3 linked regions of the Drosophila melanogaster genome follow. The protein of the gene in region 1 interacts with the protein of each later gene in a biochemical or structural test. Each region holds a gene or a part of one and is shown on either strand. Other genes may lie near its edges. The genes, in order: LUBEL, Ubi-p63E and Ubc10.

Region 1 (10,220 bases):
TATAATCAATGCTCTCGTCAACTGTGAAGTAAAATCATATTGTATGCCCAAACTGTATTCGTTTGTATCTATGGTACTTCGCAGTACTCACACTTGGGTATATCTTCATCGTCATCGCAGTAATCAGAGTCGCTGGAACTGCTGCTCAGGGTCAGCTGTACGTAAACAAAGTAAAAGGCGCATTTCAAAAGAAAGTCGATCATATGTGGGGTGTACTGAATATACTTTCGAATATGTATATATCTGAGGCCTAATTGAGTCAGTTTGATTTACAACTGCCTGACGTATTTTGAAAAGGTTTCTACCTGCTATAAAAGGATTCCGCTAAGTTTTGGAACTCCTACAAGTGGTTCGTATCATACATTAGAAGCATGATAAATGCAATTTAAAAATCTGCAATGATTACTTAACACACAGTTCTGAATGATTGATAATCCAAGGAAAACATAGCTTTAGAAATATCGAAGGCTGCACGCCTTCCTTCTTCTCGGCTGCTGCAAATATAATTAATTTCAATCAAGGACAAGGCTGCCGAGCCCGAAGCGAGAGAAAGTCAAGTACAAGCGGAGCAGCAGAGAATGTACCCCCCCCCCCCCTTTTTGCATTTCTAGCCCCATCCATAGCCGGCACATGCCCCAAGCGCTGACTGGGATTGGGATTCGGGCCTCCCCACTGAAGGTCAACCGAGTGCAGCAGCAAAGCGGAAATAGCAAGAACAAACACAACGGCACAACAAAAGCATCAAAGTGTCAGTTGCTTCTGCTTTTGCAGCATAGACAGAACCCACACACAATCCCCTTTCCCCCCGCAACCACCAGCAAGCACCTCTTGTCGCGTTCATTACCAAGGCTGCCCCAACTGAGCCCTAGAGGTATGCGTGACCCACAGTCACTCGTGAGTCCATGAAATATGTCTATGGTATTTTATGTAATGAATCCTACATAGCATCTTAACAAAGTAATAACCAGCTAACGTAACTTAGTGCCAGGTTTAAAACAATCTTTAGTAACTAATCCCTAATTAGTACTACCATGACCCTTGTAGTATTTGTATCTTTTACCACGCTGCTCACGCTGTCATCACTAGTTGTAGTCATACCTTGTTCGATATTCCGTTGAGCAGCTCGTTGCTGTTGCCCAGCACGGTGAGGAACTTGGACTTGAGGGCTCCAATGCTGGGCGTCCGTTCCATGAACAGTTTGATCTTCGATCGCTCGCCGGCGAATCCGCCCGGCGGTGTTCCCGTTCCAGGCATTGCGCCCGGAGTGGGTGGCTGCGGCTTGGCATCCACCATGGAGATAGTGTCCTGCCCCAAGTCCACTGGAAGTACGATGTTCGGGCTCAAGGGACCTGCTGCGCGATGATGCAGTTCCTTGTGGCTAATTGGGAGCGGTCGTAGAGCGTTGCAACTGCTGATGCTTCTGGTATCGATTTTTCATTTGCCTGCATGTCATACACACTGGGTGAAGGTGAACATTGCACTGCAGTTTTTTTGGCGCACTTCATGTACTTTGCAAGCTTAAATTCTTGTACCTTAAATTCGTCACCCTTTTTGATTAATTTTCATTATTATTTTTGCCAATTTATGCAACTTTTTGCTAAGCAAACACTCAGCTTCTTTTGTTTTAAATATATACCTGATTGAATGATCGTAGGTTTTTGGGCTACTAAACTAGTATAGGGCAAAGTAATGTCAGGATAATCGGTAAATTATAAAGGCACTTTTTTAACGCTTAATTTTTCGCACGTACTGCTTGAGCGCCCAACTGGGATACTACTAGTAAATTCTCAATTCCCCTGGCCCACAACTACACACTCTCTCACACACACTAGCGCACGCACACGCCCCTTTTGTACACGCAACACGATGGCGGCAGGCTAACCGTAAATATTTTCCTTTGAGTTTTCCACTCGCGTCCATTGCCTGCAGCGAACATTTCGCGAATGCAGCCGGAAAATGCTGGCCAAAACTCAGGGGTTTCGTTAACATTCGAAGGGCTTTACGTTCGCAGCTGTTATCGATTGCAAGAAAATCTACATAATATCTACATGCCACTTCGAATAGAATATTGCTCGGGAAAAGCTCGGCCGGAAAATGGCGCGCGATTTCTACACAAGCGCTCATGGGAAAGCTTCCCGAATGCTTTGCAGTGGCCGAAGGAGAGGAACCCGGCATTTTAACTTGTTTACATACAGCTGACAGTCAGCTGATCCTGAAAACATCGGCTTGCGTCAAACGCGGCAAGGTCACTGCGTGGGCGGCCCACCCATTTTTGCAGGATGGTGGGCAAATGGTCTCCCAACCGAAAATGTGCGTGCCGGCAATTGTCGAACTTTGACTTTGTCGCGCAGCCAATTTATTATGCATTGTATTTATTTTTAGACCAGCTAGCTAGGAAAACCGAAAATGGACCCACCCACGGAGGCTTTAATTCCATAATTCCCATCCATCGTCCATCCATCGAAATTGCCACTCGATTTGCACCTCCGGCCGGCAGCAGGTGGCCCATGGCGATGCTTTTATTGCTGATACCATTTGTTCGATCCAAAATTAATAGATGTTCTTCTTTATTGTTAGCATTAAATGTGCAGAATTTGTTCAAGGCTAAACTGCGGGAGATCCCTTCAGATACTTGTTTTTCATAAATCATAATTATAGCTGGCGTGTATCCCGATGAACGATTCAGCGCTTTCCCCAGGCGCCACGGTTTTTTGGATAAAATATTAGATAAATAATAAGAATTAATGCGGAAATATTTATGTTATCTGAAATTCCATTGAACTTGAACTTTGGTAATGATATATGTAGGTACGCCATAAAGTTCAATAGTCGATCAGATCGCAGGACATCAATTCGATACAATTGTCATATTTTCATTCATGAAAAAGAAACGCAACAAGTAATCAGTTCCGTATAACAACGTAAAATGTTTAACAACAAATAGCTGAGAATGATATATATTCGAGAATTAATGATATTCACACACGCGACGGCGTCTCGCAGTCAAAATGTTCTATGCCGCTCGAAAACGATGTATTTATAAAACAACGCGAAAATGCTGAAAATAGGAAAGAGATGCGACTGATCGAGGATTGAGGGGATCACCAGGGGGAAACCGTACCAGACGAGACCAGAGGAGCACATAGATCTGCGTTGACTTCCTCCTACTCGGGCGACGACTGGGGACCGCGGACTGCAGTAAAAGTGCTGTTTAGAATCTGATTGAGATTTCAGTTCGCTGGGAGACGATCGTCGAACGAGACCGTAGCTGAATTTTCATGTCGCGCTGTGGCTAGATATCAGGAAAATATATATATCCCTATATATATATATATATATATATATATATATATATATATATATATATTCATGTGCTACCAGCTGGCAGTGGCAGTTTTGAGTGCGGCAAGACGCGTCAAGTGAAATCGAATTATGTAAGTGACCTCTGATTTCGCGGATATCCAACCGTTCATGGTCGATCGAATCCATTACGAAAGTTCAAAAGCCAATTTAAAATCACACCGCAATTAAATCGATCTCAAGTGTTCTAAATATAAAACTCAGCTAATTTTAAACGCGGAGAACGCTCTCCATGGGAAAGTTCAAGGCATTGGCCGGGATAAACAATCAAAGCGTAAAATAAAGTATACAAAATTAAATCAAATTTTTTAAGCTAATTTGCCAATTTGAAATAATGAAAAACTGTGAACTAAAAAAAAAAACGCAAATATAGGCAAGCCAAAGAAATGTTTAAAAATAGTTCCCACCGTTCGTTCTCCTATAAAAATAAAACTTTTTCCCTCGCCGCGTGAGTCTGTGTCTGTGAGTCAGCGTTGCGTTTGCCTCTTGCCAGGCCACTTGCCACTCGAAGTCGCCGCACGGAGCAGGCCGATCTTCTGGGCGGGATTGAGGTGGCACCGGGCCATGCCCCTCCCACCACTGCAGGCGGCTTTCATAAATATTGCTGCACAGTGTGACACAATTTCGGGGCAAATGTATGGAGTGGCTGCGGATGGTTTCAAAAATAGCGCAACAGACACGGGAGTGCAGGCCCAGCGAACACGTTGCGTATACGCAATGCGAGAGAACAGTGTGGCTTGATTTTTGCTATGCTGGCTGAGGCGTCGCGACTCCGAAATTTATGGATAAATTTTATGGCTCGTTACGCACTTAACTAGTGCGTGGAAAATATGCCAGAGCTGCTGGATTAATATATGCTCTAAAAGATATTATTGAGATATAAAACATATTCAATAAACGGGAAATTGTCTCAAAGTATCAGGAATATAAAATGTAGTAAGGAAAACTTTGAAGTGCAGATATGTATATTAAAAAGTTTAATTAACATTCAATCTTAACTTACAAGAATATGCAAGAGATAAATGATTCCTTGGTATCATAGATACACATTTCATAAAACATGAAGAAACATAGATATCTAATAAGTTAATTATATATGAAATATTTAGTTATATACATATAACTTTTACCGGTGCGTTGCCCTTTGAGTTGAAAAGTTTGATGCCTTGGACGCAATTATAGTAAACTTAAAATATATACTAAAGTCAGCATTTGAAATACCTTTACTAATGGAATTATTATGTTGTTTAGGCCATTATTTAATTTAAACTATTTGGCAACGATTTGGCCACCTGCGTCATTACCAAATGCATATTCGCTCAGCTTTTAGTCAATATTTTCCCTCTCTCTGTTAGTTTTATTCGCTCGCTTTTATTTTCAAGCATTTACATGAAATACTCTTCTATTCGAAACTTTTGAGAACTATTTTCAAATTCGAATTCTTCTCCCTAGTCTAATCTCTTTTGCAATTTTCTTGGCATCTCAGCCACTTAGCCGCGTTGACAGAATGAGTCGATTGAGTCACAAAACAGCACTTCCCTCTTTCGCATGATTTCATAAATAAACAAGACCGAAAATGTTATGCCAAAATATATACATTTTTCAATTTTTGTTTTCTATGCACCGAAAGATATTTTCGACTACATTTAGCGTTTTTATTCGCGATCGAACTGTGGCAGCGTTTAGTTTTGTGCACGGCATCCACGAAACTGCATTTTGGTCATTGGCTTCGGAATTTGGGTGAGCCAGCTAAAAATATGCATTCATAATTCGCATTTTCTGGCACTTTGCTTAATTGAATTTGAAGTCGTTTGAAGTGGCTGCGGTTGGGCGAAAATATGGCACAGGGTATTTGCGATCTATAAATAATTATAATAATATTAATATTTTGCTGCTTACGTATTTCGATGAAATAGAAAACCAATCAAGCGCAAAAAGACGATTAAGTGACGGCAAAACCCAGACGAAAAAATCGACCAAGATGACGACCCACCAGTTGCTAAACAAGAATGTTCGCACCATGCCCTCCTGGGTGGTAAGCCAATATCCAGTTTGCCAGTCAATATCCAATTGCACTAATTACCCATTTCAGATGGAGGCAAATGACCGCATTGGGCCCAAACCGCCACCCACGCCACCAAACGGTGTGGCTGGTGGTCTTCCCAAGGCGCCTGCTCTGCCGCCCAAGGCGAAGAGCACTCCCGAGCCGGACTACGAGATCATCGAATTCTCCAGCCAGCAGTACTCCAACGAACCGATGAAGACCACAGTGATCAGAACCAAGACACCAGGTGGGCAACCTTTTTATATATTCCACTTATTTAAAATACTACCAGAGATAATTATCACTTGCAGATAACAAACTAAAGTGCACCTTGTGCGGTTCCCAGAATCCCTGGGTAACCTGTGCCGAGTGCGCCGGCCAAATCTTTTGCGCCTCCTGCGACGACATGTTCCACAAGCATCCCAAACGTAAGCAGCACATGAGAAAGGTAAGTTCTCCCGATCCATTATGAATTTGAACTTAAGAACTTCGTTTTGCAGGCTGTGGAGCAGGGCACACCGCCGATTCCGCCAAAGGCACAGGCCGGTGGTGGGGCACCACCACCAGTGGCACCTCCACGACGCAGCAAACGAGGCCTTTTGACACCGTTTCTGGGCCGCAAGGATCAGGTACGCCACTGCACGATCTCCTAGACCCGTAAGAAAGGCTCCTTCATGGGCTACACGTAGTACCAAGTTTGTAAACTTCAATTTGAATGCTTCAATAAAAGAGTCCTTACAACCAGAACGCCCGACCAAAATTGTAGAAACAGCGATCCAGACATACTTTTTCAATTGTTACCCGAATACCCATACGAAATGGCACCCAACCCGACTCTTTTCCAGATGCTGCCGCCGCCCTCGCCCACGCCCTCGCACAAGTCGCTGGGCGGCTGGCGGGGATCGCTCGGTGGCGGGGCCACGCCCCCAGTGCCACCAATTGCCACCAGCTCTGCCAACCAGATGAACAACCGACCACTGCCCGATCCACCGCGCAGCGAGGGCGGGGGATCTTCCAGATCGGGCACCCCCAAGTCCGTGTTCGACACCATCCAGCGACCGCCGTCGGTGCAGCTGGAGAAGATCAAGAGCAAGGCCAGCGCCACGCTGGACCGCATGGCCATTCTGCAGCAGCGGTACCGCCAACAGAAGGCTCGCCAGGATCTGAGCGCCAACAGCGAACAGGTGAGTGACCCGTTGACCCCGAATCACAATCGTACGAGTCCCCTCATCACTGAGTGTATCGTATTGTCTTTGCTCGGCGAAAATTGTGTCAAGGATCAGTTATAATTGTAAATGAAATGTTAATTTATTAATCATTGATCCTTGATAGTATTTGATCCTTGCACTTCGTATCGTATCGTCTCGTCTCGTTTCGTCATGTGTCGTTTCTCCCTTTCCTCTCTCTCTCTCTCTTTCTTTTTCCGTTTCTCGTTGGTCATTTCCCAAGCGCAGCATTTGTCGAATGAAGCCGGCTTCGAGCACTGGTCAAACATTTCACCATCGCCCTCGCATTTTCGTTCCGGCAGCATGTCATCCGGCCTGAACTCATCCCATTTCGATCTCTCGGATGACTCACAATTTCACAATTCCTTGCTGCTCCAACAACGACAGGCGGCCGGCGCCCAGCGGCGACAGATGAGCACATCGGTGTTCAATCTCAACTCGAATCCACGTCGACCACTGTCCGAGGCCCAAAACGGAGGTGCCTGGCTCGCCAATCAGCGCATCCAGCAGGTGAGTTAGAGTTTCATGCTCCCTTAGAAACTAAGATACCATCCCGCTTGCAGGCCCAATCCCTGGCGCAGCTAAACTGCGCTGGATGTCAACAGAGTCAGCAGCATCCTGGCTGGGCACAGCATCCGCACCAAGCACTTCCTCAGCACCAGCATCCCGATCAGTGGTCACAGTTCGGCTCCCAACAGCAATTCAACAACTCCAATCTGTCCCTGAACGTTGGACCGGGTTACATGTCGCAGCAACATCATCCACACTATCCGCCACCAGTGTTTATGACCCAGCGTGGTATGATGCCCAATGTGTATCCAGGAGCACCAGGCTATCCCATGATGCATCCAGGTAAAATGAGGCACTATTAGTTATATTTTAATTTACATATTGCACTTTAAATGCGCAGGTGTCATGGGAATGCCACCTTCAGCTGCCTCCAGAGCTGCATCCCGTTCCCGGTACGCTGCATCACCAACACCCAGCCGCAAATCGATGTCCTTGCGTCGCAAGCGCAATAGCTACGTGGATGACGAACTTACGGATGACGAGGACTCCGACCAGGATGACCGCAGATCTTTGGTGTCCAATCGCTCGGGCATGACTAGTGCCTCGCGCTCCCAGCATCACCAAAACCATATCCAGCCCCGCCAAAGGCGCCTGTCCAGTGCCTCCCAACTCATAGCCAGCGATGAATTGGACGGCGATCAGGTGCATCACAAGATGCGGAATCGTCGGGGATCCATTGCCAAGTCCGTGCAGAGTGAGTGGCTACCGGAGCGACGGGAAAATGAGGGAACCCTTACCAGAAACAAAACAGCAACGGACTCGGCCAGAACCAGTCGCATTTACTCCGATCTGGAGTCTGAGGGATCGGGTGCTCGGGCCTTGGTTCAAGCTAAAATTCAGCAGAAGCTCCAAGAAGCCGATCAGCACAAATCCTCGAAGAAGGCTGAGCCAAAACGCAAGCCGGAGATGAAGGACGAGAATACACAGGCGGCAGCGGTGGTGCAAAAGGTGGTGGTGCCACCAGCCCATGAAGAGAGTGCCTCGGAATACGAGGAAGTGGTCGAAGAGGTAACCGCCTCAGAGAGTGAGGCTGAGGCTCAAACAGCACCCGATCCCCAGGAAGTTCCTGACGAGATTGGGGCTGATGATCTCGGCCCACCACCTTCTACCCCAGACCACGAATGGGAATGCGAGTTCTGCACGTTTGTGAACGAGCCCAACATCAAGATCTGCTCCATATGCTGCAAGACGCCCAGCAAACCTCCAGTGCAGCCCAACAAGGCCAAAAAGGTAGAGGAAAAACCACAGCCTCCAGCTGAAAAGTCTAACAATATCAAGGCGTCTTCCAAGACGGAAACTAAGCCAGTGCAAAAGCCTACTACAAAGAGCCAACAACCCAGTCAGAAATCCGTTGCTGCTCTTTCGAAGACTACTCACACCAACTCCACGTCTAGCTCAAAAGCGTCGCCAGCTGTAAACTCCAAGACCACCTCCAGTATTCCTATCAAGACACCATCGAAATCCACACTGAAAACTTCGTCGGAAAATGAATCCGATAACTCGCTGGCCAAGAGTCTTCTGCACAAAGGTAGGATACAAAAGAGAATCTCATTTTTCGAAGGCACAAAGACCTAAGCCCAACCACCAAAGACTATACCTAGTTAGTACACTAATAGAGCCATCAACTGTAAGCCTACAATTAACGCATTTATGGAAACGAAATACAAAAGAGAACCATAACCCAAGCCGCATTCCGTTTGTTTGATTTCAATCCGTTGGTGACCCCGATCCCGTTCCCCCAAAAGCTAATGCTCTCATCCGTATCGTTCCAGAGTCCGTTGAAAACATTTGGAATACTCTGGATGAGAGCATACAGGCGCAGGCGGAGCAGGTACTCAAGAAGGCTCAGAAGGTCTCCACGGCCTGTGGTGGGACTCCTCCCCGGGAAATAGCAGCTGTGGAGATGGGAACCTCCCCGCCTCCACAAAGCATTTCCACACAGACCTACGACGCTCTGCCCTTCAATACAAAGCAAGAAGAGATCATCCCCGTTGTTCCTGACCGCTTCACGACTCCAGAACCAAACAAGATGGAGCGACGTCCGCACTATCGCAGCAATTCCCAGCTGCAACAGGAGAGTGAACGTTATCGGAGTGCCAATGACCTGAGGTATCACGACGGCTTTGGATTGGATCCATATAGTGCCGGTCTGGTCACCAAAAGACCCAATTTCATAAACGAGCTACGCATGCTGCAGCTTGTAAGTATCTATGGCAATACTTGATAGTTGACATAATCCAACGGATCCATGTGTTACAGCAAGTATCTTCACCTTTCGATATGCCGCATGAGACATTCGGAGTCAAGCATGAGCCGGCCAGAGATCCGGAAACGGAAATGCACATCATACTGAAAGAACTGGAGCTGTACAAGTTTACGGTTGAGGAACTGGAAGCTGCCCTTAAGTACTGCTCCCCGGAGACTCATCCGATTCAGTGGCTGCGCGAGAACTGGCACAAGCTGGTGCAGACGGTGCAGAGTTTGTCAACCAAGTACGGACAGGAGAGGGGTGAAAACACGATCGGAACTGTGTCCCAAAACGAAGCACGCGAGGCATTGCGCAACTCGGGGGGAAATGTGTGGCAGGCGGTGGCTGACTGCATCCAACAGAGGCAGCAGAAGTACAGGAAACTGGCGGCCAAGGGAAACTTCCTGCGCGATGACATTGTCAACGCGCTGACTGCGCACCAAGGTAATGTGGAGCAGGCGCTGGTGGAGCTGAATCGCACGCAACTCAAGCCATTTCTAATGCGCATCTGGGGCTCGCCGAATGGCGTTGAGAATGAGAGTGGCGTGGCCATAGACACCAAGTCGGGTTAGTTTGTAGATCGTGCATCAGTCAATCGCAGTGCCATAATGTCCCATTTTTATCTCTCCCCCCGCGCATTCATTTGCCAATACAGATATCCATGACTTCTTGAACACACACGCCTTGGACTGCCTGCAGCCTCCGTTGGCTGGGCAAAGTCCCAGCCCCGCCCAAGCCAATCCTTTCGACCAACCCCGCACCGACGAGAGCC
Region 2 (11,245 bases), on another chromosome or scaffold:
ATATTCCCCAGTTAATCTCCCACTGCGCCCTTTTCCTGGTTCTCCTGGGACTGGCGCATGCCGAACAGATGTGCGAGGTGCTGGAGCTGGACATCTTGGACCAGAAGGACAATGGTTTCTACAACATGTCGCCCTTTCACAACGATCTTCGCCTGCAAACCGCTGCCCAATTGGCCGTCGCCACGGAGAATCTGCTCTACGTGATGGCTGGTATCGCGGGTACCTACGCCCTGAGTGCCATATTCCTGTTTTTCGGAGTCTTCAAAAATCGGCCGGGCCTAATCATACCCTGGCTGGTTGTGGAGTTCCTATTAATGATTGGTTTGGGGGCACTGGTCTTCATGCTGAGGGATACAAAAATCGTGCAATTGCTGGGTGGTCAAGTGCCCTACTGTAAGTTTGGATTTTTAGGCTTAAATTTTGAAGTAAATAATAACGAATTATCTTATATTTCAGTTATCATTTGCTACATCTTGATCTGCATGGATTACTGCAAGTGGTATGTGATGCATAGCTTCTACCAGAGTCTACGCACCATGAATAAGCTTCGAGAGATTGCCACTGTGGCCATACCATGTCCAGCTCCAGGAGCCGTAAGTTGGTATCAATATTTTGAAAACTTTAATAGTAACTTTCTTATACATTAGATACCCTATCGTTTCCAACGCGAGCACATGTATCTGGGCAGCAATGGATATAAGCACATTCTAACCGAGTCTCCCGATGGACAGTGTTAAACATGTACTGAAAGATTGGATATTTTTGGAACTTCCCATCAGGTGTCTTGATTGCAATTGCACTGCAAATTCTGTATTGCAAAACAGAGTGTGATATGGTTTTGGTAGAGATACTATTTTATATAGCCAACGGACATGGAGCGGCTTATTAGAAATGCAGAATCGGTTCAAAGCGTTCGGCGATTAAACTATAAACTATTTTTGTGTAGAAATAGCTCCCAAAGCACCTTAAAAAATAAAAAAAATAATAATAATATTTGGTCACTAACGCGACTCGAACTCGGAACTTCGAAGCGAAGGTCGCACTCTCTAACCCCTAGGCTACGGCAGCGAAACTCTCGGGATAGCCGAGATTGATTAAGCCCCAAAATCTTGAAACGAAAAACTTGTCTTAAATAAATTGGCGTTCATACAAATATGTATTGTAGCAACGAATTTTTTAAAGCTTAGTTTCTCAGTAGATTTACCACTACTTAACTATAATATGCCTTAAATTCTGTTGACTAGCAATATTTTAGGTATTTCTATTTTGTGGCACAGAACGAATATCAAATAAAAGTGCAAAATTGTAACATATCTAATGAACGTGTTTTTTATTATTTCCACACTTACTAATTTAATGTACATCAAGTTAGAAAAATGTTTGGAATATTCAGTTTTGGGTGCTTTTATTATTTGGCCTCAGCTACAGATGCACATTATCTAATAATATCTTTCTTGTCTTAGGATTATTTGTTCCACTAGCCTTTCCGGCCCTTTAGCTTCATAATTGGCGGTGGCAAAGTGGTTCCTACAGTGGTGGTGCTCAGAGTGCTGGCTCCCATTAGACTCATATCGTTATCCAGGCTGTCCATTACAAAGTCCACTACGGTTATATTGTTAGCGCCTTCAGAATCCCCCTTATCTGTGGGGATACTGATCTGAAACTGCAGCAAAACCACCAGATAAGTGACCATTGTGGTTAAGAGTCCTTTAAAGAGAGTCCTGTTCACATCAAAAAAGCCACCGCAGTTGATGGTCGATGGATTCATTTCGGTGGCTCGCAAAAACATATTTATCTCCGTCTGGGCATCCGAGTTCATCCAGTTAAGCTCCACCATGAGTAGTTTCTTCTGGAAATTGGTTCGCACATTAACCGAGGCATAATGTGCCTCATCGCAAATATAGAAGAGCAGTCCTATGTTCCACAAAGCCGTGATAGTCAGTCCTATGTCCTTGATGCCAAATCCCTCGGAGAGTTGCGACATTAGTCCATAAATCGAAAGGGTAATGATGAAGAACAAGTAGAGGCTCATGAAAACAAAGGTGTAGCACAGGGCATTTCCAGTATCACGGGTCAACTTGCTCAGTCGTAGCCACAGAACACGGTAGTCTGCCACCATGGCAGCGGGTCCAATGTGTTTCAGTGCCTTCTGGAACCGCTCCGCCAGAAGATGAGCCGTAATGCTCATGGCCTCGCAGATGAGGAACCACCAGGCACCCAGCATTGCAGTCAAGTTGTCCAGGATGCAGTAGGGCACCACCTGGTTAATGTTCAAATCCGACATGGTGACGTGCGTGATGACCACCGATAAAACCGAGAGAATTGGCAGCACGATGGCTATGTACACCGCCTTCTGTCGCAATTTCAGAGGCAAACTGTGCCCGGATATCTGGTAGTACAACACCTCAAAGTCATCCCAATCATTGAAGAGCTTTGCTATCTTCCTGGCCTCGTACCACAATATTGGTATAATCATAATGGGCAGGATGTTGACCAGAAAGAGGTATGCAATAACCGCCTCCTCGAAGGGTCCACTCAGGGAGCGCACAATGTGGATGCGGTTGTTGGCCACATAGCCTACATAGCACTGTAAAGCGGTTTTGGGTTACATAATGGTATCCATAGTCAATTTTGAAAAATGTTATGCAAACACCACACTCACCGCCAGGAGCACAAAGAAAACCACCGAGTAAATAAAGGAGGCGGAGTTCATTTCGAACTTGGCACGAGCAGGACCATGTCGCACGATGGGTAATACTCCAATAATCCTCAAGAACCAATTGATGGGATCTATGTTTCGGTAGAAAACACTCTGAAAGCAGCGAAATTCAGTTTTACAAAAATGGTTTTAACAGCGTAGCAATCCACAAACCGGCTTAAATTCCGGATTATTGGACGCCGTGCTGTCCGAGCTCTTTTTCCTATCCAACGGAGGAGCTTCGTAATCCGCATCCAATCGCTCCGCCAATCCAATGGAGTACTTGCGGACCCCGTACAAGTATGCCTGGGCATTAGCACTGTTCAGCGGTTTTGCATTGAGGAACACCGCGTCACCCTTCTTGCGTCGATAGTAGTTGGCCATTCCGGAGAGACTGTGTCCGGAATTTCCTTGTCCGTGGCCTTTTACCACTTTTTCGCCAGACGGACGCATTAGCCATGCACCTGCACACGCCCCCTTATCGACCACGCCCTCTGTTGACTTAGAGCCGGAGTTTTAGTTTCCTGTTGATGTGCGTTGTTTGTCTTTTGAATGAATTAACCTTAGCCCGGTGTCCCAATTTCGAATTTGTGTCAATGGCGCGCATGTGGCAATTTACAACACTGAAACCGGGCTGCCAGGCTACCGATTTGGTATCTAAATGGATCTAGTCCGGTCACACTGGTGGGTGTGGGTGCGAAAGATAAATAAATAAATATGTTGAAAATGGACAGGGAAAAGTTGATTGTGCCCAATCAAATTGGCTATCTGATACTAAAGGAAGATGGAGCAGTTCTGGAGTCCGGCGGAGATCTGAAGAACGATGAGCGCAGTGCAAATGTGATAATGGGATTACTAAATCTCACAGAGACGTGCGTTTTTAAACAAAGGATGAAGGAATTTTGTAATAATTACGCCTATATTGTAGCATCGACGAGTCCTTCATGCCGAGCAGCAGCTGCGAGAGGATCACCATCGATTACGAGCATCACTACTACAGCATCTGCATGTCCAACCGTAGAATATACATCATTAAGATCAGCAAATCGCAGAATGGCGTCACCACGACCACGAGCTCCTCCTCGTCGAACAGCGTGTATAACGATGCCAGCGATTCCGGGGCAGTGCTGGCTTGAAATCCGTCGTCGGATGTCCGACCCACTTGCAGATTCTGTTGGCAAGCAACCGGACAAAGACCCCACAATTGGCGCACTCCCATTATTTACCTAATCCTCCTCTTTATTTGTCAAAAAATACATCATCTGTGAGCTCTTGCTCGAAAATGCGCCTCGCTTCCTGGGTGACGTCCAGCAAGGTGGCCTTGCTATTGCACAGGATCACATAGTACTGCCTGTAGTTACAGCGCCGCTTCACAATCCAATAGTCATTGGTGGTCTTGACCTGAACTTCCTCGGCAGGAGCACTCTCCATTTCCGCCTTGCCACTGCCATTGGCCAAGTCCGCAATGATACTAAGCACATTGCGGGGCAGCCCTTGGGGCAGGTGCCTCTGAAAGTTCGTGTGGTGCTGCAGGCTTTGTTCGTTAATGAACAAGTACTTCGGCGCCGTTTCGCTGTTCCCGCTGGAGTTGTCCTGGCCTGCAGCACCCACCGCCTCCTTTGTCAACTCGCTGGATATGTCCCGGGCCAACGAAGTCAGTTGGGGAGCCATGTAGGCATGGAGATCGTCGTAGAGATCTTGTTTCGGCGCAACCTGGTCAGCTGACAAATGTGGAATGTTTCAAGTTGATTATTTTGGCTATTTAGTTCTAATCCTTAACATACCATTCAGAAACAGACACAGAGTTATGTGCAAAGCGCGGTAGATGAGCAAGTAGTAGGGTTTGGCCTCCTTGTCCAGTGTCACATAGACCTTCATTGGATGATCTTCCTCATTCACAGCGTCATGTTCATCTCCTGCGACCTTCTGACGACTTCTTACGAATCCGCCCACCTGGCATTCACTTATGCTTCGCTTTAGTGAAGGAGAAACTGCAATGGTGGAACTGCTGGCCTCGACTTTCAGCACGTGTTGCACGACATACGAGTGCACGCAGTGCAGATCCTCCGGGCTAAGTTTTCCGCCACAAAGGACCTGCTCCTGGTAGAGCATTATGCTCTCCTTGATGTCGGGGAAGGTCTCGCACAGGGTGCCAAAGTTTTGGGCCCGCAAGAAGAGCGTTTTATCCAATGGCAGATACTGAATGGAATGCAGCATATCGATGATATCACATTGCGCGGGATCCCTCAGGTTGGTCAGATGCTGATCATAGAACTGGAGTAGCTTCTGGCAGAGCAGTTCCCTACGCTTATCCGGATTAGGTTCTTCACTTCCGCAGGAGGAGAAACATCCGTTTTGAAAGCGAAACATTTGATAGCATTGTCTAAGTATTGCTCTATAAATCCTGTCGGAGATCTCGGCACCCCGATAATCGGCCACCTCCACGCCCTCCTTTAAGCGCACCTCCTTGGGAACATTCAGGACCAGTACTAACCAATACCCTGGCTCGGGTTGGTAGAAGAGTTGTGTGGTTTTCTGGGTATGCAAGGCCTGGCAATCATCTTCAGATGTAAAAGTTCTGCAAGTACAGCAAACTCTGTATTATTACCCACTTCCCTCTATGTAAAAAGTTCCATAAATACCCAGTGAACCTTATGATGGCCTCACTTAGTCCCACATCTTTGATTTTCGTATTTAATTCAATGTCATTTGGATGGTAAAACAAAACCTTCTTGTGTTCCTGAAAAAAATTACTCATTAGGGGCGTTTCTTAGCCTTAAAATTGATTTGCCAACCTCGCCTTCAACTTGGCCAAAAGTCGAGTTAAAAATGTAAAAGCTGCGTAACGTAATTTCTACGCGTTGCAATAATTTAGCCATTTCTTTCCGCACAGAATTAAAAGTATTTATTTTGGCCAAAGGTAAATAATGAAAAGGTACTAACGCGTCCGTGTTTGCCAACCAGGGTTACATTTTACCAAATGTAGTGTGCTAGTATATACCAAACGTTTCCAGTACCAAATTAAAAAAAATACCACACAATTAATAAGCGAATTTAAAGCTTTTTCATTTATTTTGGAATTTAATAGATTTAATAAAATTTATGTCATGGCGTTTACTGAAATTTAGAATTTTTCTGATGTCTTCCCTTTTGACAATGCAGAAAGGAAAGTGGCCATCCATAATCTCCTCATATTTATTTAGAGTGAAGTGCGTGCTAAATTGTGTTTATTTGGAAATGTATTTAGTTTAAGCCTGGATTCCTCCACGGAGACGGAGCACCAAGTGAAGGGTCGATTCCTTCTGGATGTTGTAATCGGACAGGGTGCGTCCATCCTCAAGCTGCTTGCCGGCGAAGATCAGACGCTGCTGATCTGGGGGAATTCCCTCCTTGTCTTGGATCTTAGCCTTAACATTCTCAATGGTGTCCGAGGGCTCTACCTCGAGGGTGATGGTCTTTCCGGTCAAAGTCTTCACGAAGATCTGCATACCACCACGGAGACGAAGGACCAAGTGAAGGGTGGACTCCTTCTGGATGTTGTAATCGGACAGGGTGCGTCCATCCTCAAGCTGCTTGCCGGCGAAGATCAGACGCTGCTGATCTGGGGGAATTCCCTCCTTGTCTTGGATCTTAGCCTTAACATTCTCAATGGTGTCCGAAGGCTCTACCTCGAGGGTGATGGTCTTTCCGGTCAAAGTCTTCACGAAGATCTGCATACCACCACGGAGACGAAGGACCAAGTGAAGGGTGGACTCCTTCTGGATGTTGTAATCGGACAGGGTGCGTCCATCCTCAAGCTGCTTGCCGGCGAAGATCAGACGCTGCTGATCTGGGGGAATTCCCTCCTTGTCTTGGATCTTAGCCTTAACATTCTCAATTGTGTCCGATGGCTCTACCTCGAGGGTGATGGTCTTTCCGGTCAAAGTCTTCACGAAGATCTGCATACCACCACGAAGACGAAGGACCAAGTGAAGGGTGGACTCCTTCTGGATGTTGTAATCGGACAGGGTGCGTCCATCCTCAAGCTGCTTGCCGGCGAAGATCAGACGCTGCTGATCTGGGGGAATTCCCTCCTTGTCTTGGATCTTAGCCTTAACATTCTCAATGGTGTCCGAAGGCTCTACCTCGAGGGTGATGGTCTTTCCGGTCAAAGTCTTCACGAAGATCTGCATACCACCACGGAGACGAAGGACCAAGTGAAGGGTGGACTCCTTCTGGATGTTGTAATCGGACAGGGTGCGTCCATCCTCAAGCTGCTTGCCGGCGAAGATCAGACGCTGCTGATCTGGGGGGATTCCCTCCTTATCCTGAATCTTGGCCTTCACATTCTCAATGGTGTCCGATGGCTCTACCTCGAGGGTGATGGTCTTTCCGGTCAAAGTCTTCACGAAGATCTGCATACCACCACGGAGACGAAGGACCAAGTGAAGGGTGGACTCCTTCTGGATGTTGTAATCGGACAGGGTGCGTCCATCCTCAAGCTGCTTGCCGGCGAAGATCAGACGCTGCTGATCTGGGGGAATTCCCTCCTTGTCTTGGATCTTAGCCTTAACATTCTCAATTGTGTCCGATGGCTCTACCTCGAGGGTGATGGTCTTTCCGGTCAAAGTCTTCACGAAGATCTGCATACCACCACGAAGACGAAGGACCAAGTGAAGGGTGGACTCCTTCTGAATGTTGTAATCGGACAGGGTGCGTCCATCCTCAAGCTGCTTGCCAGCGAAGATCAGACGCTGCTGATCTGGGGGAATTCCCTCCTTGTCTTGGATCTTAGCCTTAACATTCTCAATGGTGTCCGAAGGCTCTACCTCGAGGGTGATGGTCTTTCCGGTCAAAGTCTTCACGAAGATCTGCATACCACCACGGAGACGAAGGACCAAGTGAAGGGTGGACTCCTTCTGGATGTTGTAATCGGACAGGGTGCGTCCATCCTCAAGCTGCTTGCCGGCGAAGATCAGACGCTGCTGATCTGGGGGAATTCCCTCCTTGTCTTGGATCTTAGCCTTAACATTCTCAATTGTGTCCGATGGCTCTACCTCGAGGGTGATGGTCTTTCCGGTCAAAGTCTTCACGAAGATCTGCATACCACCACGGAGACGAAGGACCAAGTGAAGGGTGGACTCCTTCTGGATGTTGTAATCGGACAGGGTGCGTCCATCCTCAAGCTGCTTGCCAGCGAAGATCAGACGCTGCTGATCTGGGGGGATTCCCTCCTTATCCTGAATCTTGGCCTTCACATTCTCAATGGTGTCCGATGGCTCTACCTCGAGGGTGATGGTCTTTCCGGTCAAAGTCTTCACGAAGATCTGCATACCACCACGGAGACGAAGGACCAAGTGAAGGGTGGACTCCTTCTGAATGTTGTAATCGGACAGGGTGCGTCCGTCTTCCAGTTGCTTGCCGGCGAAGATCAGACGCTGCTGATCTGGGGGAATTCCTTCCTTGTCTTGGATCTTAGCCTTAACATTCTCAATGGTGTCCGAGGGCTCTACCTCGAGGGTGATGGTCTTTCCGGTCAAAGTCTTCACAAAGATCTGCATTTTGGATTATTCTGCGGGAAGAAAATAGAGATGTGGAAAATTAGTACGAAATCAGACGAGTTTCGTTGAAATTACAAAACTATTGAAACTAACTTTCTGGCTGGGGAATAAAAATGGGAAACTTATTTATCGACGCCAACTTTGTTGAGAAACCCCTATTAACCCTCTACGAATATTGGAACAAAGGAAAGCGAAGAAACAGGGAACAAAGGGTAGTTGAGAAACCTTTGTTCCGTTGCTTCGTCATCGTTTTCGTGTTGCGAGTGTGTGCATGTATGTATACACAGCTGAAATGCATGCATACACATTATTTTGTGTGTATATGGTGACGTCACAACTACAAGCAATAAGAAATTTTCAGACGTGGCTTTGTTTAAGCAACCTACTCTATTTCAGCTAAAAATAAGTGGATTTCGTTGGTAAAATACTTCAATTAACTAAACAACTAACTAATAACATGCACACAAATGCTCGAGTGCGTATGTGATTTCTCGAATTTTCAAATACGTCACTGCGAATTTCACAATTTGCCAATAAATCTTGGCGAAAATCAACACGTAAGTTTTATTTATAGATTTGTTTGCGTTTTGATGCCAATTCATTGGGAAAACGAGATGCGTGGCTGCCAATTTCTTATTTTGTAATTACGTAGAGCGTTGAATAAAAAAAAATGGCCGAACAAAGACCTTGAAATGCAGTTTTTCTTGAAATTACTCAACGTCTTGTTGCTCTTATTACTAATTGGTAACAGCGAGTTAAAAACTTACGTTTCTTGTGACTTTCGAGAATGTTCTTTTAATTGTACTTTAATCACCAACAATTAAGTATAAATTTTTCGCTGATTGCGCTTTACTTTCTGCTTGTACTTGCTGCTGCAAATGTCAATTGGTTTTGAAGGCGACCGTTCGCGAACGCTGTTTATATACCTTCGGTGTCCGTTGAAAATCACTAAAAAATACCGTAGTGTTCGTAACACTTTAGTACAGAGAAAAAAAATTGTGCCGAAATGTTTTTGATACGTACGAATACCTTGTATTAAAATTTTTTATGATTTCTATGTATCACTTTTTTTTTGTGTTTTTCGTTTAAACTCACCACAGTACAAAACAATAAAATATTTTTAAGACAATTTCAAATTGAGACCTTTCTCGTACTGACTTGACCGGCTGAATGAGGATTTCTACCTAGACGACCTACTTCTTACCATGACATTGAATGCAATGCCACCTTTGATCTAAACTTACAAAAGTCCAAGGCTTGTTAGGATTGGTGTTTTGGAATTTAAGACCCTTGTTAGTTTGCTTTTGAAATAGCACTGTCTTCTCTACCGGCTATAATTTTGAAACTCGCAGCTTGACTGGAAATTTAAAAAGTAATTCTGTGTAGGTAAAGGGTGTTTTAAAAGTGTGATGTGTTGAGCGTTGCGGCAACGACTGCTATTTATGTATATATTTTCAAAACTTATTGTTTTTGAAGTGTTTTAAATGGAGCTATCTGGCAACGCTGCGCATAATCTTACACAAGCTTTTCTTAATCCATTTTTAAGTAAAATTTGTTTATACTCTTTCGGCAAATAATTGTTAAATCGCTTTAAGTGGGCTTACATCTGGATAAGTAATGAAAACCTGGATAATATATTAATACATATAATCCACTGTGCTTTCCCCGTGTGTGGCCATATACCTAAAAAAGTTTATTTTCGCAGAGCCCCGCACGGTCACACTACGGTTCGGCGATTTTCGATTTTGGACAGTACTGATTGCAAGCGCACCGAAAGCAAAATGGAGCTGGAGATTTTGAACGCGAAGAACAGCAAGCCGTACGGCAAGGTGAAGGTGCCCTCCGGCGCCACGCCCATCGGCGATCTGCGCGCCCTAATTCACAAGACCCTGAAGCAGACCCCACACGCGAATCGCCAGTCGCTTCGTCTGGAACTGAAGGGCAAAAGCCTAAAGGATACGGACACATTGGAATCCCTGTCGCTGCGTTCCGGCGACAAGATCTATGTGAAGGATCTGGGTCCCCAGATTGGCTGGAAGACCGTTTTCCTGGCCGAGTACGCCGGCCCACTGATTGTATACTTGATTTTCTACTTCCGACCGGAGTTGGTGTACGGCAAAGCTGCCAGTCTGCCGATTTCCCTAACCACCCAGTGAGTTTGTAGAAAGTAGTCTCTGAAGTCTTTCGATTGTCGACCTAATCGACCTCGTCGCTTATGCAAACTAAAACGCAACGGCTCTGCATAATTATCCCCGAACTTTGGATGGTGGTTCACCCAGTAACCCGCTTTCTTTTCTCTTTTGCCCCAGCATTGCCGCCGGCTGCTATACGGTCCACTATGTGAAGCGTCTGCTGGAGACGATTTTCGTGCACCGCTTCTCGCACGCCACCATGCCGCTGAGGAATCTCTTCAAGAACTGCACATACTACTGGGGATTCACCGCCTATGTGTCCTACCACGTGAACCATCCGCAGTTCACCTCGCCCTGCATGTGCACCGTTTGGGGAGCTCTTGGGGCATTCGCTGTATGTATCCGCGGCCATGGTTTATGGATCTGGGTTATATGTTTTCGTAATCTACCGGTTTCCTTTGCTTTTGTTCGAAACATTTGTTTCTTAATACCAAAGGTGTAGCTTTTTGTTAAAATTGGTCAAGCAATTTGTAATGTTATATGTGCTATATATTTGGGATCCATTAATCATATTTGCAGACCCACAAACTAAGCCGCACACTTTTCACTTTCAGCTCTGCGAACTAGGAAACTTTTCGGTGCACATTGCCCTGCGCAACCTGCGTCCGCCGGGAACAAAAGTGCGCAAGATTCCGGTGGCCGATGGAAATCCCCTCACCAAGCTGTTCGAGTAAGTGGTCACTAAAAAAACCCACAGCTCAAGTTTATTAATTCGCGCTCTTCGAACTGCAGCTTGGTTTCTTGCCCCAACTACACCTATGAGATCGGTGCCTGGGTTTCATTCTCTGTGCTGACTTCTTGCCTGGCTGCCTATC
Region 3 (8,816 bases), on another chromosome or scaffold:
TGCCCACAGCTGCTGCTCTTGATTTTAGTTTTCGTTTTGTTTTATGTTTTTTTTCCTTCTCCTTAGCTTTTCCTTGGGCGATTTTACAAGCCGAAAAATTCCAGAAATTCTTCAAGATTTTTTCGATAACCTTTTCGAGTAGTAGTTATCCTTATCGTAGGTTCCTGACTTCAAACCTTCGCGTGGGTTTGGTTTCCGTTTTTTTTTCTAGGGGGTCTAGCGTTTCTTTAGAGAGTTGACGGTGCGCGGGTGGCATTTACATATTCCGCTCCGGATTTACGGGCGAAAATCTAGCGATTCAATGGCCCCGTGCACCAAGGGGCACATTTCACAAGCGTTACGAAATTTATGAGCAGCTGGAGCTGCCACCGTAGTTGTTGTTCTGGCCTTTATTTATTTCTTGTGCTAGTCATTACACTGCCATTGTATATGTACATATATATGTAGGCGCCGTTGTGTGCGTGCGTCTGTGCGTGTGTGCGTGAGGAGGGGGTGGGCTGGAGTACCACCACATTGACACGCAACTTGGCTAAGTGGAGCGCATTGTTTGGCCCGTTGGGCGGATGGGGCGTATGCGTGATTTTCTCCACTTGTGCTGATGTTGCTGCAACAGCTGCAACATGTAGGCATCAGCAGCTAATTGCACTTGTTTGTAACTCGAAACGCCAGCGATTTTTGGTCGTTGCACTTATCACAAATCAGCTGCTTGGGTTCTTTTGTTGACCATTGCCTTTAGCCTGGCTATCTATGTATATTATATGTATATTTTGTTTTATTTTCTTGTTGTTGAACCAGCGCTTCCGTTCAGATTTTCACTCAAACACCACACACACGTTTATATTTTCTTTGAGGATTTTTGGGCGAATGGGTGGGCGGGAAAAGGGGGTCGCGTTTGTATGTATGTATGTTTTTGAGGAGCAGCGACGAGTACATACGAATTTTTGCCACTAGAATCGGAATCGAAATGTGTATATTTGTATATATTTTTCTTTTTCGCCCCGAAATTGTTTTGCTTGTGCTTCGATTTTTTTTTTGTGAATTTCTTTACGATTTTTTTCGTTGACTGTTGAGAATGTGTGTGTGTGTATGAATACGAATTGGGGGAAACTGCAATTTTCGTGGTCACTGGACTGCCTGGACTGGCATTTTCACATTTTCACATTTCGCCCTCGGCCATATTTTATTATATTCCTTCGTGCTCGGTGCCCCCGCAATGGCAGCCAATTCCCATTCGATTTCTGCGCTCTGCGATTTTGGCTGCTCAGCACCAGCAGCACCCAGAAGCTGAAGCCAAAATCCTCGACGGGTCGATTCGAGCGTTTCGAGATTCTCTCCGCTCGGGCAAAGGCAGGCGACTGATTTCCAAGCAGTGCCGTGTCGCCAGCTCTTGATTTTGATTTTCCAATGCGCGCGCTCCTCCCGAGGAACGCAAGATAACGGCGAGTGGAAAGTGGGCAGCCGGGGGAGGGCTCCATAGGTGGACTGAGCGAAAAGCTTTGTGGAATTGCTATACAGTTAGAATTCCTGGTACACACAGGAGAGGGACTGACAGGCGGAGAGCGCGAGAGAACGGACGGTAAGACATGTGCGCGAGTCGGAAAAAGAGAATAAAGCTCGGGACTCTTCGCCCCACTGGAATTTACCGCAAAGCTTTGGGGCCAGAACTTATAAACTTTCGGCAGGGTTGCACTTACATTTTGATTTTGGGATCCCGTTGATTTCGAAAACCGTTGTTTTTAAAATGTTCGAATGAAATGGTTATATGAAATACTTTACTTTTCATAAAAATTAATATATTTTTTATTTACTATTGAAATTTCACAAAACTTTCGGAAACTAAAAGAAACTTTCTTGGGGTTTGTACACCTAAATTACGTGTATAGTCGGATGGTACTGTCCGCGCCCGTGGAGAAGACCCATGGCTGCACCGGATGCCAGTTAACATCCAGCACACCAAACTCATCGCGTTTCTCGTGTGTTTGCAGCTTCTTGAGAGGCACAATCAAAGGGTTTTGCAGCAGGTCACTAAAAAAAAGTTTGGAGAAATTCGTAATTAACCTTGGGCAATGTTGATTTATAGCCACTTACTTATAGACCATGCCATGGGAGACGATCACAGCCTGGTCATCGCTGCCGGAAGCAAAGAGCGGATATCGAAGATGGAAAGCAACACTGCGAACTGCATTGCGATGGAGTCGCATGGTCTGGTAGGGCTTTGTGGACAGATCCAAATCGAACCAGAGCATCTTTTTGTCATAGGTGGACACCAGCAGATTGTCGCCCTTGGGATGAATAGACATGCCCGATATCCATTTGGAGTTGGTCAGCAGCTTCTTGACAAGCTCTTGTTTGACCAGATCATAAATGCGAATGTTGTGTTGCGTCTGTAAAGAAAAAACAGAATTCAATAAGACATACTAACAAAAGAAAATTAACCCACTTACCGCCACAAAGAAGCAGGGCTTCACCGGATGGAAGAGCACGAATTGGATGAGACCCTTGCTCTTGGAGAATGGAATCTGTGAGCGCCGCTTGGACAACTGATGAATTAAAGCCGAGCGGTTAGCACCTTCGGGCATCACTGTGGCCAAGTAGTCACCACGACCGTGCCAGGTCACCTGTCGGATGGGTTTGAAGTGGGTAATCACTACGCGGACGCCCTTCTCCTGCTCATCAGCTTCCGCATTTGACCATTGCACCGCCGTCTTGATGCGTTCACTTTCAATGACATCCTGACTGGGCGCCTCAGCCAAGAGATCGTCGGTCTTCTTCACCAGCACCTTATCGCCCACTTTAGGATTGACGAGCAGCAAGCGATTGCCAGTGGCCACCGCAATAATAGACAGCTTGGGATTTGGACACCAAGCCACACAGCGTACCACTTCGTCGGTCTCGATTGTGCGAATGCAACGACCTGTTGCAATTTCCCAAACTGTGAGGTGAGATGGATTAGTAAGAAGATATCTAAAAGGTTGTCAATTAAATTAGTACTTACTCTTGACGGTTTTATCATCCGAACCGGAGACGAGGTACTCTCCCTTGGGCTCCACACTAACAGACCGCACCAGATCGGTGTGGCCACGGTAAACCATACTCTCCACCGTGGGAAAGGGTTGCAGGTCACGCGGCGAGGGCAACTTGGGGATAAGGTACTCGGCATCGATGTTCAGCTTGACACGCTTTGCACGGGGACACAGGTAAAGATCCAGGCAACGAAGGAAACGCTCCCGAAGGTATCTCGAGTATGCGGGCACCTCCCTCAGCGACTTGAACTTCTGTGGCATGAAGTGCAGCTTGCGCTTGTGTGGCTCGTCCTTTAGTTTAAGCCACTCCTTGGTCTCCTTGGCATCGAAAAGATACTCTGGCGGTGGATTGTAGGACTCGGCATGACCGGGAAGGTCGCGTTTGGGCGCAGAGACTGGATCGTGGATGCGGCGCATGTGTTCCCGACTGGTGTCCGTTTCCCACAGCATGTAGAACTTGGGACCGCGCTTGGCCTGCTTCTCGCGTTCCACTTCCTCAGTGGTCTTCATCCAGCCCATTTTGAGGGCGTGCACCATGCGAGAGACGCGCTTTTTCTCGGAAACTGAGGGCAGGAAAGAGCGTTTGTGGTCGGGTACGTTCTTGATGGGCATCTTTTCCACCTCCGATGTGAACCATTCGATCCAGGGCTCATACTCTTCGTGATCCTTGTTGGGTATGCGACCCGAAACGATGCGCTTGATCAGAGCAATGTCCTCGTCTGTTAGGCGCACATCCTGACCGGTAAGTGGATCCTTGACGGTACGCCAAAAGTCTGGGTCCTCGATCTTACGCAGGAACTCATCAATTTGATCTCCTTGTGGTGGTTTAATAATCTTCTTGGCATCCCAGTCGTAACCGATGTGCTTGTATTCGTCGTACCAGTGCATGGGTATGTTGCCTACAGTATTTCTTATGTCCTCCTCGTCGGAGGTATCTGAATCCTGATACTCAGGCTTCGAGCTATCCCGTTTCGGGAGCTCTGCTGTAAGGGCTTTTTTAGACGCGGCACCGCTTCCACTGGGCTTATCGTCTGTTTGCTTTGACTTGGAATCCTTCTCCTCATCTTCCACTTCCTCTCCATCAGTGCTTTCCTCCTCTTCATTATCCTCTTCATCACTACTTTCTTCATCTTCCTCAGCTGATGAAGATTGCTTTCTGCCCAAGTAGTTGCCCTCCTCATCGCTCTCGAACTGCAGTTCCTCACTGGAATCCGAGTGGTATTCCTGGTCTATGCCCTCGTCATCTGTTGAATCTTCGCCGGGATCTTTTACAGCTTGCAGCAGGTCCTTAAAGAGCACAAACACACATGCAGGTCATTTTGAAATGACTTTTTATATCACTGTCAATGGGTCTTACCTCCTCCTCCTCCTCGTTTTCGGAAGCCTCGGAACTGGCCACCACTTCATTTGTGGGTTCCGAATCCTTTCCTCTGCGTTTCAGAGCTAGTTTTTTGGTCATTTTGAGGTAAAAACAAAACTAACGCGGCGCACGTGTTGCAGTCAGCGATAGCGATGGGAATCGCCTGAAACGGTTGCCTATCGATTGGCTTGCCGCCACTGCTGCTGGTAATCGGTTACAAATCCATTTGGAAACAGCAACCCTTTTATTTTCATTTGTTACCTCTCTTAAAATATACATCTATAATAAATACTTTCCAATAAAGATTTATTTAGTATTAAACATAATATTACAGCCGTTGCAAGTTGCAAAATCAAGACAAAGTTATACATGACCAATGTATATGTATACCAATTGCAGCGCCGTTGCGAGCAAGTCTGCAAAATACCCTAACGCTAATTGGAAGATTCTTCAACGAACCATTTTCAGCGAAATTCGCAGACTTACGTGCGGATTTTTTTGGGCCAGTGCGAAAACCAAAGGTGACACCCCGCAACTGGAGCACTAGGAGCTCACCAACAACGAAACACCGGCGGCTGAACGAGAGTATTACATATCCGGAAGACAAAACCATCGATTTGCAGCTCACACAAGGGCAAACAAAAGTGCACACGCACACATTGGCAAGGTGGCCCCCTCCTCTTTCCGTTCCACACACACCTACGCACACACCAGCATAAGAGAACCCACACATAGACATCACGATGACTGCGCCGCGACGCCTGCGAAAAGAATTGAGCGATTTGCAGGGCAACGCACTGAAGTCCTTCCGGGACATTAAGGCGGACGATGACAACCTGCTGCGCTGGACGGGATTGATTGTCCCGGACAATCCGCCGTACAACAAGGGCGCCTTCCGCATCGAGATCAACTTTCCGGCGGAGTATCCTTTCAAGCCGCCCAAGATTAACTTTAAGACACGCATCTACCATCCAAACATCGATGAGAAGGGCCAGGTGTGCTTGCCCATTATCAGTACGGAGAACTGGAAACCGGCCACACGCACCGACCAGGTCGTGCAGGCACTGGTGGACTTAATCAACGACCCTGAGCCGGAGCATCCGCTGCGGGCGGAGTTGGCCGAGGAGTTTCTTAAGGATCGCAAAAAATTCGTGAAAAACGCCGAGGACTACACCAAGAAGCACAGCGAAAAACGTCCGGCCGACTAGCGGATAGGCGGAGGTAGAGCTGGAGGAGGTGGGCCAGTCCACAACCCATGTGTACCCTTACCCCTTAGTCTTGTGATTTTTCTGTTAGTTATTTAATTTTCATTCTTGATCCATGAAAAACTATCCTCAGAAAACATTTAAGCAGATATTTCCCCGGCAGAGTACCTAGTTTTGTAAAAGTAGCACTGTAATTTGATGCAAGTGAGAAATACATGTTCGTTATGTTAAAATACAGCTGCCGACTCTTGGATGGAACCGACATCTGAGTTGGATGTCGGAGCTACGGGCATGGGAAATGATTCCTCGCCCAACATGCTACGGAAGCAGGTCATTACAATGCTGTTGTTGTGCTGAATGAGGGCCTTGCTGAACTGGTTCTTCTGCAGCTCCTTAATGTCCAGCAGGCTGTGAATGGCCCCCGCCTGCTCGTCCTTAAGAAGTTCCAGCACCTGTTCCAAGGCACTGTTAGCCGTATCTTTTAGCTTACTCAACGTGAGAGTTTGCGCTTGATTGCTATTAAAACAACAATCCTGATAAACGCTCTCTATGAGAAATAAGAGCAGCGACGCCGCGTAATGGGTGAGAAACAGGAACTTGTGGAAGACAATGCTGTCGGGCTTCAATTTCTTTACTTCTTCCAGGAGATCAATGAAAAAGCGCTGCTGGGCGGTGTGGAATGCCTCGTCTTCTGTTGGTGGCAGGTAGCATAGTGTCTTGCTTTCCAACTGGCACTTTGGCGCAGACTGCCAGACAGGGTCGAGTTCAAATGTGTCCAGGATGCGAAGGCGCAGAATGAGTATTGGTTCCGAGGCAAACATGCTGCTTTGCAGGCTCTGAACAGGTGCTCCTCGTGAAATGTGAAGATTCAAGGGTGCCGTTCTGTTCTTAACGTATGAATACGGTGTTCTATTGTTAAGACACTTCTCCAGTTGATTAAATTCCCGACGCAAGCAGTAAATCTGCTTGAGAAGGTCACCGTGTTTCAAGGACTCCCTTTCTGTGTAGGAACCGCCATAGACAGGCACTTGGAATCCCAGAGCCTTACTGGTGGCCTCCTTGTCCACGATGCACAGGCTATCTTCTAATGGCTTCACTTTGTATAGACTGTAGTAGGTGTTCGCGACAAGACTGCGCAGGTGATGAAGATGTCTCAGATAATGACGATCATTGGACTCGTAGGCATAGATACTGCCCTCGATGGCATCCGTTTGAAGCTTCATGTACATACGGCAGGCGATCTCGTGCTGCATGAGAAAGTCGTGGGGAATCTGGAACTTGGCAAACAGTGGCATTACCAATGTGTCATTCGGCTGAGCAAGCTTGCTCTTTATCTCCTCTAGCAAACGAGGCAAGTCGGGATGGTCCTTGTTGTAGTTCAGGCAGATAACATACACTTCCGAATTTCCCCGCTTGGAAGTAGCCGGCTTAAAGATGTGTACCTCCTCAAAGATGCAATTGAGTGTATAAAGTAGAGATACACTGCAAGCCTCGAAGAGGGTAAACATCTTCACTAGGAAGTTACCGCCACTTGAGAGAATTCTTAAGGCACTGAGTACTTCAGCAAAGAAAAGGCGAACCACTATCTCTTCCTGGCAATCAGGCTGTGCGGCACAATCGATGGAACCATCGGCAGTGACAAGATCCACCTGTCCCTGGAACTCCACCTCACAACGTTCCACCAGGTGGTCAATGTTGGCCACATCTAGTAGATTTCCAGTTAGATCTTTGTGAAAGAACCAGTTGTCCAGCGTGTGGACGATGAACCTGTCATCGCTGATCATCTGGTTTATAGCATTGCCTTCATAGTACGGATTCAAAGTAGTTGAGCGCCAGCGCCATTTAATCTGGAAAAAAGAGTTCCGTTCTCGTATCTCTCAAGGATGACTTGATAACTCACCTCATCCTTTTCATATTTGCTATGAAGGTAATGATTCAGAGATGCTATGAAGGCACCGGGTGCCTCGCAGAGATGCATACTGTTGACAGCCGGCTTCGTGACCAATGGATAACGATGCAGGCACTCGAACAACTTGCACCATGCCACAGTTACAAATTCGGCCTTCGTGTCGTTTTTCAGGCGCCAGGACACCTCGCCAGAAGGGTCACGCCTGTTGGTGTGAGCACTCCATTCCTGCACGCCATAGTCATTGAGTTTGCTTTTAACCGCATTCAGCTGCTCGCGCAGTCCCTGCAGCGCCTCGAACTGGTAGAACTCACTGAAGAGAGCCTGATCCGGTGGCGGCAACTGCCAGGATTTGTTTCCTTTCGGCTTCTGATAGTGGAACTTCTTCTCGAAGAGCTGCTCCACTTCGGAAGGCCGGATGGACTGATAGTCCGTCTGTAAAGTGTGAAATGTAATGACTGACTTGTAGGATGTAGCATCCTTTACTCACCATTGGGTGTGGCTTTCCCTGCGGAGACGAACGAAAGCTCATTCCGGCTAAATTTAAATGCGAGGCGTCAAAAACAAAGCGATCTGCGACACAATAGAGATGGAAAAAGCTCAAAGCGATCCATCGCCTAAATCTTAGCGACGGTAACTAAAAATCGCAAACGTTATCGATTAAGCTATCAAATTTAAATTGATTTTCCGGGCTGCAATGAATAATTATTTTATATCTCTAATGCAATATTATAGCTAATTCGTAGATGCAGAAGATTTGGCTAGACGTTTCCATAGCTTGTATCTGAAGATGAATGGAATAAGAACAAAAGCCATCAAGAATTCCATCTTGTTTAAAAGTTAAAGGTTGAAAAATAACTTCAGCCAATATGTTAAATGCAATTGTTTTTTTTTTTTGCCGCATATTTCTTTTAAAAATGTTTCTTAATTCTAGGTATTTTTCGACTAATTCCCTTTATCAAAAGAACAAAATCGCTATCTCCTGTAGAAATGTAACTTCCTTTCCACCTTCGACGGCGATGATCGTCAAAGGCATTTCCCGTAGATGCCCGATGGTGGAAACGTGGAAACTGATTTCTTTGATTCTATGGAACTATCCATTTAGAAAGCGCACGGCAGGCGACAAATAAGGTGCCTGCAAAGTGTGCGGTTACGAAACTATTGGTCATCATCCGTTAGTGATTCGATTGTGCATACTAATATTTCATTAAAATCTTATTTTATTGATGCGGATAGCCCAAGTACGGAAGTTGGAGAAATTGTCGGAAAGTTACATATACATACATATAAACTTACACTCCCAATCGGAATGTGGTTATGTC

The links.
Region 2: of the proteins of LUBEL (region 1) and Ubi-p63E, one has a biochemical effect on the other in vitro, tested with the Drosophila melanogaster proteins (one study listed by BioGRID).
Region 3: of the proteins of LUBEL (region 1) and Ubc10, one has a biochemical effect on the other in vitro, tested with the Drosophila melanogaster proteins (one study listed by BioGRID).

What each region holds. Positions count from the first base shown.
Region 1 is NT_033779.5:6,765,766-6,775,985, reverse strand, and holds the start of LUBEL (linear ubiquitin E3 ligase), read left to right. Parts: upstream 1-5,017; 5' UTR 5,018-5,100; intron 5,101-5,276; 5' UTR 5,277-5,341; coding exon 5,342-5,395; intron 5,396-5,452; coding exon 5,453-5,651; intron 5,652-5,715; coding exon 5,716-5,852; intron 5,853-5,904; coding exon 5,905-6,033; coding exon of another isoform or gene 6,034-6,057; exon of another isoform or gene 6,058-6,149; intron 6,150-6,249; coding exon 6,250-6,588; intron 6,589-6,858; coding exon 6,859-7,140; intron 7,141-7,193; coding exon 7,194-7,482; intron 7,483-7,540; coding exon 7,541-8,728; coding exon of another isoform or gene 8,729-8,775; exon of another isoform or gene 8,776-8,890; intron 8,891-8,972; coding exon 8,973-9,400; intron 9,401-9,459; coding exon 9,460-10,015; intron 10,016-10,103; coding exon 10,104-10,220. Other genes in the region: CG17378 (uncharacterized protein), read right to left, coding at 1-21, 92-155, 1,099-1,293.
Region 2 is NT_037436.4:3,893,522-3,904,766, forward strand, and holds Ubi-p63E (Ubiquitin-63E), read right to left. Parts: upstream 9,664-11,245; 5' UTR 9,483-9,663; intron 9,400-9,482; exon of another isoform or gene 9,334-9,399; intron 9,187-9,333; exon of another isoform or gene 9,006-9,186; intron 8,530-9,005; exon of another isoform or gene 8,332-8,529; intron 8,250-8,331; 5' UTR 8,239-8,249; coding exon 5,947-8,238; 3' UTR 5,910-5,946; downstream 1-5,909. Other genes in the region: Fie (fire exit), read left to right, coding at 12-393, 457-593, 648-737; Gr63a (gustatory receptor 63a), read right to left, coding at 1,478-2,587, 2,663-2,812, 2,873-3,082; Lamtor4 (late endosomal/lysosomal adaptor, MAPK and MTOR activator 4), read left to right, coding at 3,416-3,570, 3,627-3,834; Ccz1 (Caffeine, calcium, zinc sensitivity 1), read right to left, coding at 3,938-4,419, 4,483-5,276, 5,341-5,438, 5,494-5,577; Sc2, read left to right, coding at 10,020-10,390, 10,548-10,764, 10,985-11,100, 11,163-11,245.
Region 3 is NT_033778.4:17,785,413-17,794,228, reverse strand, and holds Ubc10 (ubiquitin conjugating enzyme 10), read left to right. Parts: upstream 1-4,818; 5' UTR 4,819-5,126; coding exon 5,127-5,591; 3' UTR 5,592-5,815; downstream 5,816-8,816. Other genes in the region: CG5033 (uncharacterized protein), read right to left, coding at 1,872-2,025, 2,089-2,384, 2,445-2,932, 2,996-4,310, 4,381-4,482; aft (adrift), read right to left, coding at 5,816-7,435, 7,489-7,929, 7,985-8,026.